2 linked regions of the Neurospora crassa OR74A genome follow. The protein of the gene in region 1 binds, or shares a complex with, the protein of each later gene. Links are inferred from orthologs where the notes say so. Each region holds a gene or a part of one and is shown in the gene's direction. Other genes may lie near its edges.

Region 1 (4,203 bases):
AGGTTTGTCCATCGTTTGGGGCCAAATGGCGTACACGATACTGCCCCTTTCCCATACAGAACCTGGAGGCGAATAAACCATTCCTTGGGCGCAGCGACCGAGGAGGACCATGAACAATCTGGCCCTTTTTGTGTGAAAATTTCGACCGCGTACGACTGATCGCGAGTTGGTTAATCAATTGCGCCCATACAAGCGGCTGAGGTATTACGTCAGAGGCGGCACAGGTCAGTCTTGGCCGTTGACCAGTGAGCGGGGATCTTTGGAAACCTCGGCCGAAGGTGCCGTGACGTAACGTCAATCCAGTTGGCGTTTCTTATTGGCCACCTGTCAGCGCGTAGGTCGCAGGCGAGCCACGATCAACCGCAGAGCTGGAACGGGCCGGCACGGGGCCGGCACATCTACATGTGCCTTACTACTAACGGCGAGGCTACTCCACGGCGCAACCTTTCATCGCATTTCACGATCCTACAATACCTCGCTACGAAGCTTCTGTCGGGCACATCACGCCAAGTACGCGGTCCGCTTTAAGGTCGCATCTTACTGCATTCCTTCATCGAGTATATGTACATAACTCGATGCAGTAATTAGCTTCGATCTTCTCTCCCCCATCTCCAGTAAGTATTGCTAGTTGTGCACTGCACTGTGACAGTTGTTTCGCTCAAGGTAAGGGTCGGTGTTTACCTGTTTCACCACATCACGAAACATGCGACTCACGCCATACGGTGTCTGTCTCGCTGGTGACCTTGCAGATTCATTGGACCACGATACCGAAACGGATATATGGACACATCAAAGCCGTGGACCCCATTCCGTCGTCTGGACTCTAGAATTCGGGAGAGCCCGTGCCCGGAATCCGGACCGGAACGGACAGTTGGACTCCCTGGCTGGCCGTTTTCCACGTGGGATTCCCATTTTGCCAAGCGATTTGACCGCACAAGTATCACGCACCCCCGCAGTACCGACGACGACCGATCCATGATTTATTTGAGCCTTGTATGCCTACATACTCTTTGAGGTTCTTGATTACTTCAACAGTCTGGTGAACCCCGGGCACAAGCATGTGAAAGTCGCAGGCCCCCGAAGGCATAGCCCTACATCGCCTCAAGACAATCCAGTGGCCCTTCTGGGTAGCGGGCACATCATGTAGTATATACTTGACACATATGCACGTCCTTTGAATGTCGTGACTCGTAACCAAGCTTCAAATCAGAGTTGACCTTCGCTTTGAAGTTGTGGTGGAACCAGATTTCGCTGTCGAATTTCGAGGCCCGTAGTTACACAAACGAGATGTCGGTACCCAGCACCGATCTGATTCGATTTCACAGGCCCCACTCTTCCTGCGAGGCTGCCTACATACACGAGTTCGCGCATTTGGGGAACAGCCTTGCAGTCCAGTAAACATTTCCGGCTTCCACCACACACCACGAACCTTTGTTCAGCTTGTGCATTCAACGTCGTCGCGTATCCCCTTTTCTCCATTCTTTCTTATTTCTCTCCGGCACTTTTTCAGCGCGACAACCAGTACCCGGCCTCCCGATCAACACCTACCAGGGAGTTGTCTACACGAACACGACTAAAGGCCCTGATTATCGAACTTCTGAACCTTCCACTCGTTTCGAAGTGACCCTCGAGCTTCTCCCACTAAGAGCGCCAGCTACTATCCGTCAAACTATCCCGACAAACATACGCAAACATGGCTGACTCGGACGGCGAGTACGCCTCCGACGATGAGCTCAAGAGGCATGGAAAGAGGACAGCGGACGGGCGCAGCAAGCAAACCAAGGCGTCATGGGAAGATGTTAAGCGCTCCTGGGATACCGTCTTGGAAACAGCGGACAGCGGCCTCTCCATCGCAGAGATTCGGGAGGCCGAGAAGCGGCGTCGCCTTCTGCGCGACACGACACCTCTTCAGCGTGGAATTATCCGCCATCTGATGCTTGTGCTCGACATGAGTTTCGCCATGGCCGACAAAGATCTGCTACCAAACCGTTACCGAGTCGTCCTAAATAACGCCATTGGCTTCGTACGCGAGTATTTCGAGCAGAATCCCATCAGTCAGCTAGGCATCGTGGGAATGCGCGATGGAATTGCTGTGCGAATAAGCGACCTGAGCGGGAATCCGGCCGAGCACATCGAAAAGTTGATGCAATGGAGCGAGCAACAAGACCCCCAAGGAAATCCGAGTTTACAGAATGCACTTCAAATGTGCCGAGGTGCTCTATAGTCAGCGCTACGGCCCACCCCCTCCGTGACAGAGGTCATTCGCTAACCGCTTCATGTTTTTGTACAGTCAAACGCCGTCACATGCCACGCGCGAAATACTGATAATCTACGGTGCCCTCGTCTCAATCGATCCGGGCGACATACACGACACCATCAACGACCTCGTAGCCGACCGCATCCGCGTCTCGGTCGTTGGCCTCGCCGGCCAAGTCGCCATCTGCAGCGAGCTTTGCAAGCGGACGAACAACCACGACGGCAACTACAGCGTCGCCGTAGACGAGGTGCACCTCAAGGAGCTCTTCTTCGCCGCCACCACTCCGCCCGTCACCCGCACGCCCGAGCAAAACACCGCCAGCCTGCTCATGATGGGCTTTCCCAGCCGCACGCTTGCTCCGAAAGACCATGTCAGCTTCTGCGCCTGCCACGCGAAGCCCACGCGCGAGGGGTACACCTGTCCGCGCTGCGGAATCAAAGTGTGCCGGCTGCCGATCGACTGTCCGATCTGCAAGCTGACGCTCATCCAGAGCACGCACTTGGCGAGGTCGTACCATCATCTGTTCCCGCTCAAGGTGTTTGTGGAGGTTCCGTGGTCTCAGGCGTATAAGTCGACGGCGTGCTACTCGTGCCTGACACCCTTTCCTGCTAGGCCAAGGGATTCAGTGGCGGCAGCGCCAGCTGTGTTAGGAGGGAGAGCCGGAGCTAAAGGTAGCGGGAAACAACAGGACGGCGAGCAGAAAAATCCAAAACCGGAACTCAAGGGTGTCAGCGAAAGCGGGCGGTATGCTTGCCAGGTATGCGGAAATCATTTTTGCATAGACTGTGATGTCTTTGCCCACGAGACTATTCATAATTGTCCTGGGTGTCAGAGCGATACGAGGGATGTGGAGAAGGATACGGCAGTAGCAGTACCAGACGGTGGCCCTACACCCATGGTGATGGATTCCTAGAGTGAGGAGCATGCTACAAATGGCGGCAGATGGAGGACAACAATTAGCCGCTCCGCTTGAACGTTTCAGATTCTTCGGGCGGAACCGAACCGGCCACTCTGGTTAAGAGCATCGATAGTATGGTATCGTGAACGAAAACGATACGATGACCCGAAACAGAGCAGTTTTAAGGGTATGGCGAACATATCTGTTACATGGAGGGGTTGGCGCTGCAAAGAACACGAAAATATACACGGCATCACGATCAAAATATACCCAGACGACTTGGCTAAGAAGAAAGTCCAAAGTGGAACTCCCAAAACCAAAGCTGTAAGGGACACCAGCCGAATAACTAGAGACGACGGGGTCATGGCTTCTTCATGCTCTTTACCAACAAGGCAGTGCAAAGGGATACTAGCGAAAGGGCTAAAGAAATGACGGGATCCAACAGATGTGAAATGGTCCTATGAATTCAAGAAGACGATTCGTTGGGTGTGGCGCATCTGTGAAGGAGATGGGAGACGGATATGGTTATGGAAGAATGATCAAGAAGACTCTTTGCGTATCGGTAGAGTCCCTTGTGACGAGGGGAAAGAGAGGACGGGCACGCAACGAATCATAGATGTGGAGTGATACGGCAATGTGAGATTTTGAGACCATACCAGCATCATCAAGTAGCGTACTAAAATAGCTAATCTTCATATGTCTACACGGTTCCGGTGATGTTCCGATAAAGGAAAAATCCTGCCCTTGAACAAATCGGACAAATTATATGCAAGTAGGTAGGAGTGCGTGGTGAAAAACGAGTGAAGAGCAGAATGCGAAAGGAACTTGTTGGGCGATCATGACTGGCGATTTATGAACAGGTCAACAAAATGTTTCAACCCCTCGTTTTCATTCGAAGCTAATACACCACCGTGAATTCGCTCATTACCTACAATTTCACATAGCTGATTTCAGAATGACAAAGTACTATGTAAGCACGTGTCAAAATCATCACATGATTTGCATAACTATGCCAAAGCTACTTTCATGCTCTACTTCTCGGTTTGAA
Region 2 (3,129 bases), on another chromosome or scaffold:
CGAGTGCTTCACTGCAGTGGTCTTTTTGTGAAGCCGGGGGATACTGTGATCTGCAATGCAGGGTAGCACCTGAGGTTGCAGTCGATGGAGGTAATTTCACCAACTGCCCAACCTTATTATCTGGGTGCGGTGCGGGCATTCTGACTGCAGCGCGGGTCACTACACCGTAGGATTGACCGCAGCCAGACGACACAACGAACTTGTACGGCAACGGCAAGTGCAGTAATGAGGCATGTCTTGGCCCTGGTCTTCTTCTCGCGCTTCCAGAAGGTCGTCTTCAGAACGGAAGGAAGCACCGCCATGTTCAAGAATGCGGGCTTCGTTTGCGATCACATCTTCGACAGTTCATCGGGTCTTTCACTTTTGTCACATTTCAGTTTGGTGTAACAAGGCGCTACCGGTTATCGAGCTCCCGATGCACAGAATCTGAAACCGCCATCGGCAAGTCGTACCTAGTCACCTCTATCCGCCCTCGTCATATCGACGTTTGTTTTTCTTTTCTTTTTCTTACTTTCCTTTCCTTTTTTCTTTTTCATTCTCAAGACGGATAAAAGACTGGACATGGCATGTTTTGAACGGGTAGGGTACGTTGGTTTGCTGCACCTATTTCATCATTGTCAGCCAACGACATACTACCTCGGTCCCTGCGCCGCAAGGCAATCCAGGAGCAAACAAGAGGGTTTTGGGACTCCCTGGACAGAAAAGATATTTCTTGGTCTCCATCGCAGCTCCCTGCCCTGGATCCTCGTGAAATACTCCCAACTCTCAGTCTAGGCACCACTCAGTACCCGCACCCAATATCCGAGCCATACTATCACTAATCTGAGCTTGCGATTGGCACGAGTTTTGAGATTCGATCTCCGCTCCCACGCTGGCACTCTCAAGCGAAAAGGTGGGGTGGTTTACTGCAAGCGGTTAAGCCTTCCCGCCCAGCGATCCCTGGCAGCGTCCAGGGCCCGAAACGGCCACACAGAGTGGGAAAGTGGTTACAGGATTCGTTTTTTTGGAGACGCCATTGTCCCCCCTTGCCTGTGACTGCTTTGATCACATTCGGGGTTTCCATTAAGTAAGATCCAATGTGATCATCCAGACCAGCCGGCCACTCATGGACGAATTATTTGTTGAAGCTTGTTGGTAAGGGAATGTGAGAATCATCTATACACACTGTTCTTGCAATTGAGGTTGAAGTGAAGGTCATGATGCCCTCATCATCTATTCATCTGATCTGGAGGGACAGCACCTGGATTCAAGGTTCAGTAAGTATAATTGCGGGTATGTAATCGCAAGGCAAGTTTTCTGACCTGAACCCGAACGTATGTACCTACGTAATGTTCCGTATTCTGCAAGCGTACGTAGGTACCCGTGTCTGCCGCTGCTTCTCTGTCACTTCATGCCAGGTTGCTCGCGTCGTTACAGAGAAGGCGCTGCCAACAAATTGTACGCTCAAACGCTGTATTTGAGTTACCATACAGCAACACAAACCCATTTCTTCCACGCCAACCATCTAACGATCCAACCATATCCCGACCAACAACCAGCACAGCCCGATACATTCCAAACCACGTCGCATACGACATTGTTCTCAGAGCATATACCCAAAAGGCCAACTTGATGAGGGCTACGGCGACATAAAAAAATCACAGGACATTTTGCCATCCCGCCAGAAACTACAGCTATTCAAGATGCCGAGAGCAATCAGAGGTCAGTATGGATTCCCATGAAATACCATATAAATGACGTGTACATGGGCTTGTCTAGTCAAGACTCATTCATAAGCAACAGCACAGCACGACTCTAACGCAAAACAAATACTCACCCTGCTAACACTGGTCCCTGGCTCAGGTGTACTCATCCAGTGCGAACCAGCCATCAAGTCCATCATCGTTCACTTGGATAGTGTTAACAACGATATCATCATCGAAGATCTTGATGAGCAGACCCTGGTTGTTAAGGAAAACATGGTGCAACTGCTCAAACAGAAACTCGAGGACGTAAGTCATATGCTTCCCCTTTGCTTTGTCCAGTGTGACCGTTTGGCCCGCATCGTGAACTAGATATCATGTCCGATTATATCACCTTCCTCTGGCTGACACTTTCCTACCTACAACAGCGCCTGAAGGAAACATACAGGCCCGAGGAACCGCTGGCAGATAGTGACTAGGAGTTGCCTAGTAAATAGGAGACGCATACGTAGTGACTTCAAGTCGCTGAACCCCCCCGAATTACATGCATTTATTTATACACCTTCAACACTGCGTAGCAGTTACCAGCCTGCGATGGACTACTTGATCCTCTTTAAAGCTTTGAAAAGACGGGCTTCTTCTTCTGCACACTAGCCGATAACGCGTCCATCATATCTCTTGATTGCAAAGCAGCCGAGTTCCAGACGGTGGTATACCGTAAGCCTGTGTCAAAATTATCAGTTTAGCCTTTCCTTCACGATAACGAGCAACGAGGAGGAAGAGAAACCAAGAAAGGAAACGTACTTTCAGAAACCGAATGGTCCCTTGCGTGGTTCAACAACTCCTTAGTTCCCTGTACAGCAATCGGGCTCTTCCCAGCAATCAAGCCCGCCAGCTTGATCGCCTGATCCAGGGCAGCCACCTTGCTGTCGAGAACTTGGCTGACGAAGCCGACCTGTTGCGCCTCGGTCGCGCCAAACTCTCTTGCCGACATGCATACCTCCTTCACCCACGAGAAGTTGCCGACGGCCTTGGGCAGCCGGCTCAGCGTGCCAATGTCGGCGGCCAGGCCGATGTCGACCTCCTTGACGGCCAGCCGAACGTCACGCGTGCAGAGCCGAATGTCGGCGGCGCAGGCGATGTCGATGGCGAGGCCGAGGGAGATGGCGTGGAGGACGACGATGACGGCTTCAGGGAGTTTCTGTAGGTTAGCAAGATTCGCATGCACTGGTTCATTGGCTTGACGTATATATATCACCCTGGGTAACGAAGAGTGACAAGTCGGCACAGTCAATACATACGTTTCTCGCACAATTCAATAGCCGAAATGCTATCCTGAAATTCAGTAATGTATCTTCTCAACTGGGCCGCCTTGCGCCCGACGTCGAGGGCGCCGCTCGACTGCAGCTGGTTGTTCGAGCTGGCCGCGTGGATGTCCAAACCCGCC

The links. Proteins that work in one complex are often made in the same cells at the same time.
Region 2: NCU01831 (region 1) and NCU06646 share a complex: the UniProt entries of both Saccharomyces cerevisiae proteins name them as parts of the 7-subunit TFIIH core complex. The link is inferred for Neurospora crassa OR74A from reciprocal best matches to the Saccharomyces cerevisiae genes SSL1 and TFB5.

What each region holds. Positions count from the first base shown.
Region 1 is NC_026502.1:2,258,513-2,262,715, forward strand, and holds NCU01831 (RNA polymerase TFIIH complex subunit Ssl1), read left to right. Parts: upstream 1-1,383; 5' UTR 1,384-1,693; coding exon 1,694-2,223; intron 2,224-2,290; coding exon 2,291-3,170; 3' UTR 3,171-3,871; downstream 3,872-4,203. UniProt on the Saccharomyces cerevisiae protein: Component of the general transcription and DNA repair factor IIH (TFIIH) core complex, which is involved in general and transcription-coupled nucleotide excision repair (NER) of damaged DNA and, when complexed to TFIIK, in RNA transcription by RNA polymerase II.
Region 2 is NC_026505.1:4,109,314-4,112,442, forward strand, and holds NCU06646 (RNA polymerase II transcription factor B subunit 5), read left to right. Parts: upstream 1-1,457; 5' UTR 1,458-1,682; coding exon 1,683-1,701; intron 1,702-1,842; coding exon 1,843-1,991; exon of another isoform or gene 1,992-2,110; coding exon 2,111-2,161; 3' UTR 2,162-2,295; coding exon of another isoform or gene 2,296-2,405; 3' UTR 2,406-2,486; downstream 2,487-3,129. Other genes in the region: NCU06647 (enoyl-CoA hydratase/isomerase), read right to left, coding at 2,296-2,405, 2,487-2,870, 2,984-3,129. UniProt on the Saccharomyces cerevisiae protein: Component of the general transcription and DNA repair factor IIH (TFIIH) core complex, which is involved in general and transcription-coupled nucleotide excision repair (NER) of damaged DNA and, when complexed to TFIIK, in RNA transcription by RNA polymerase II.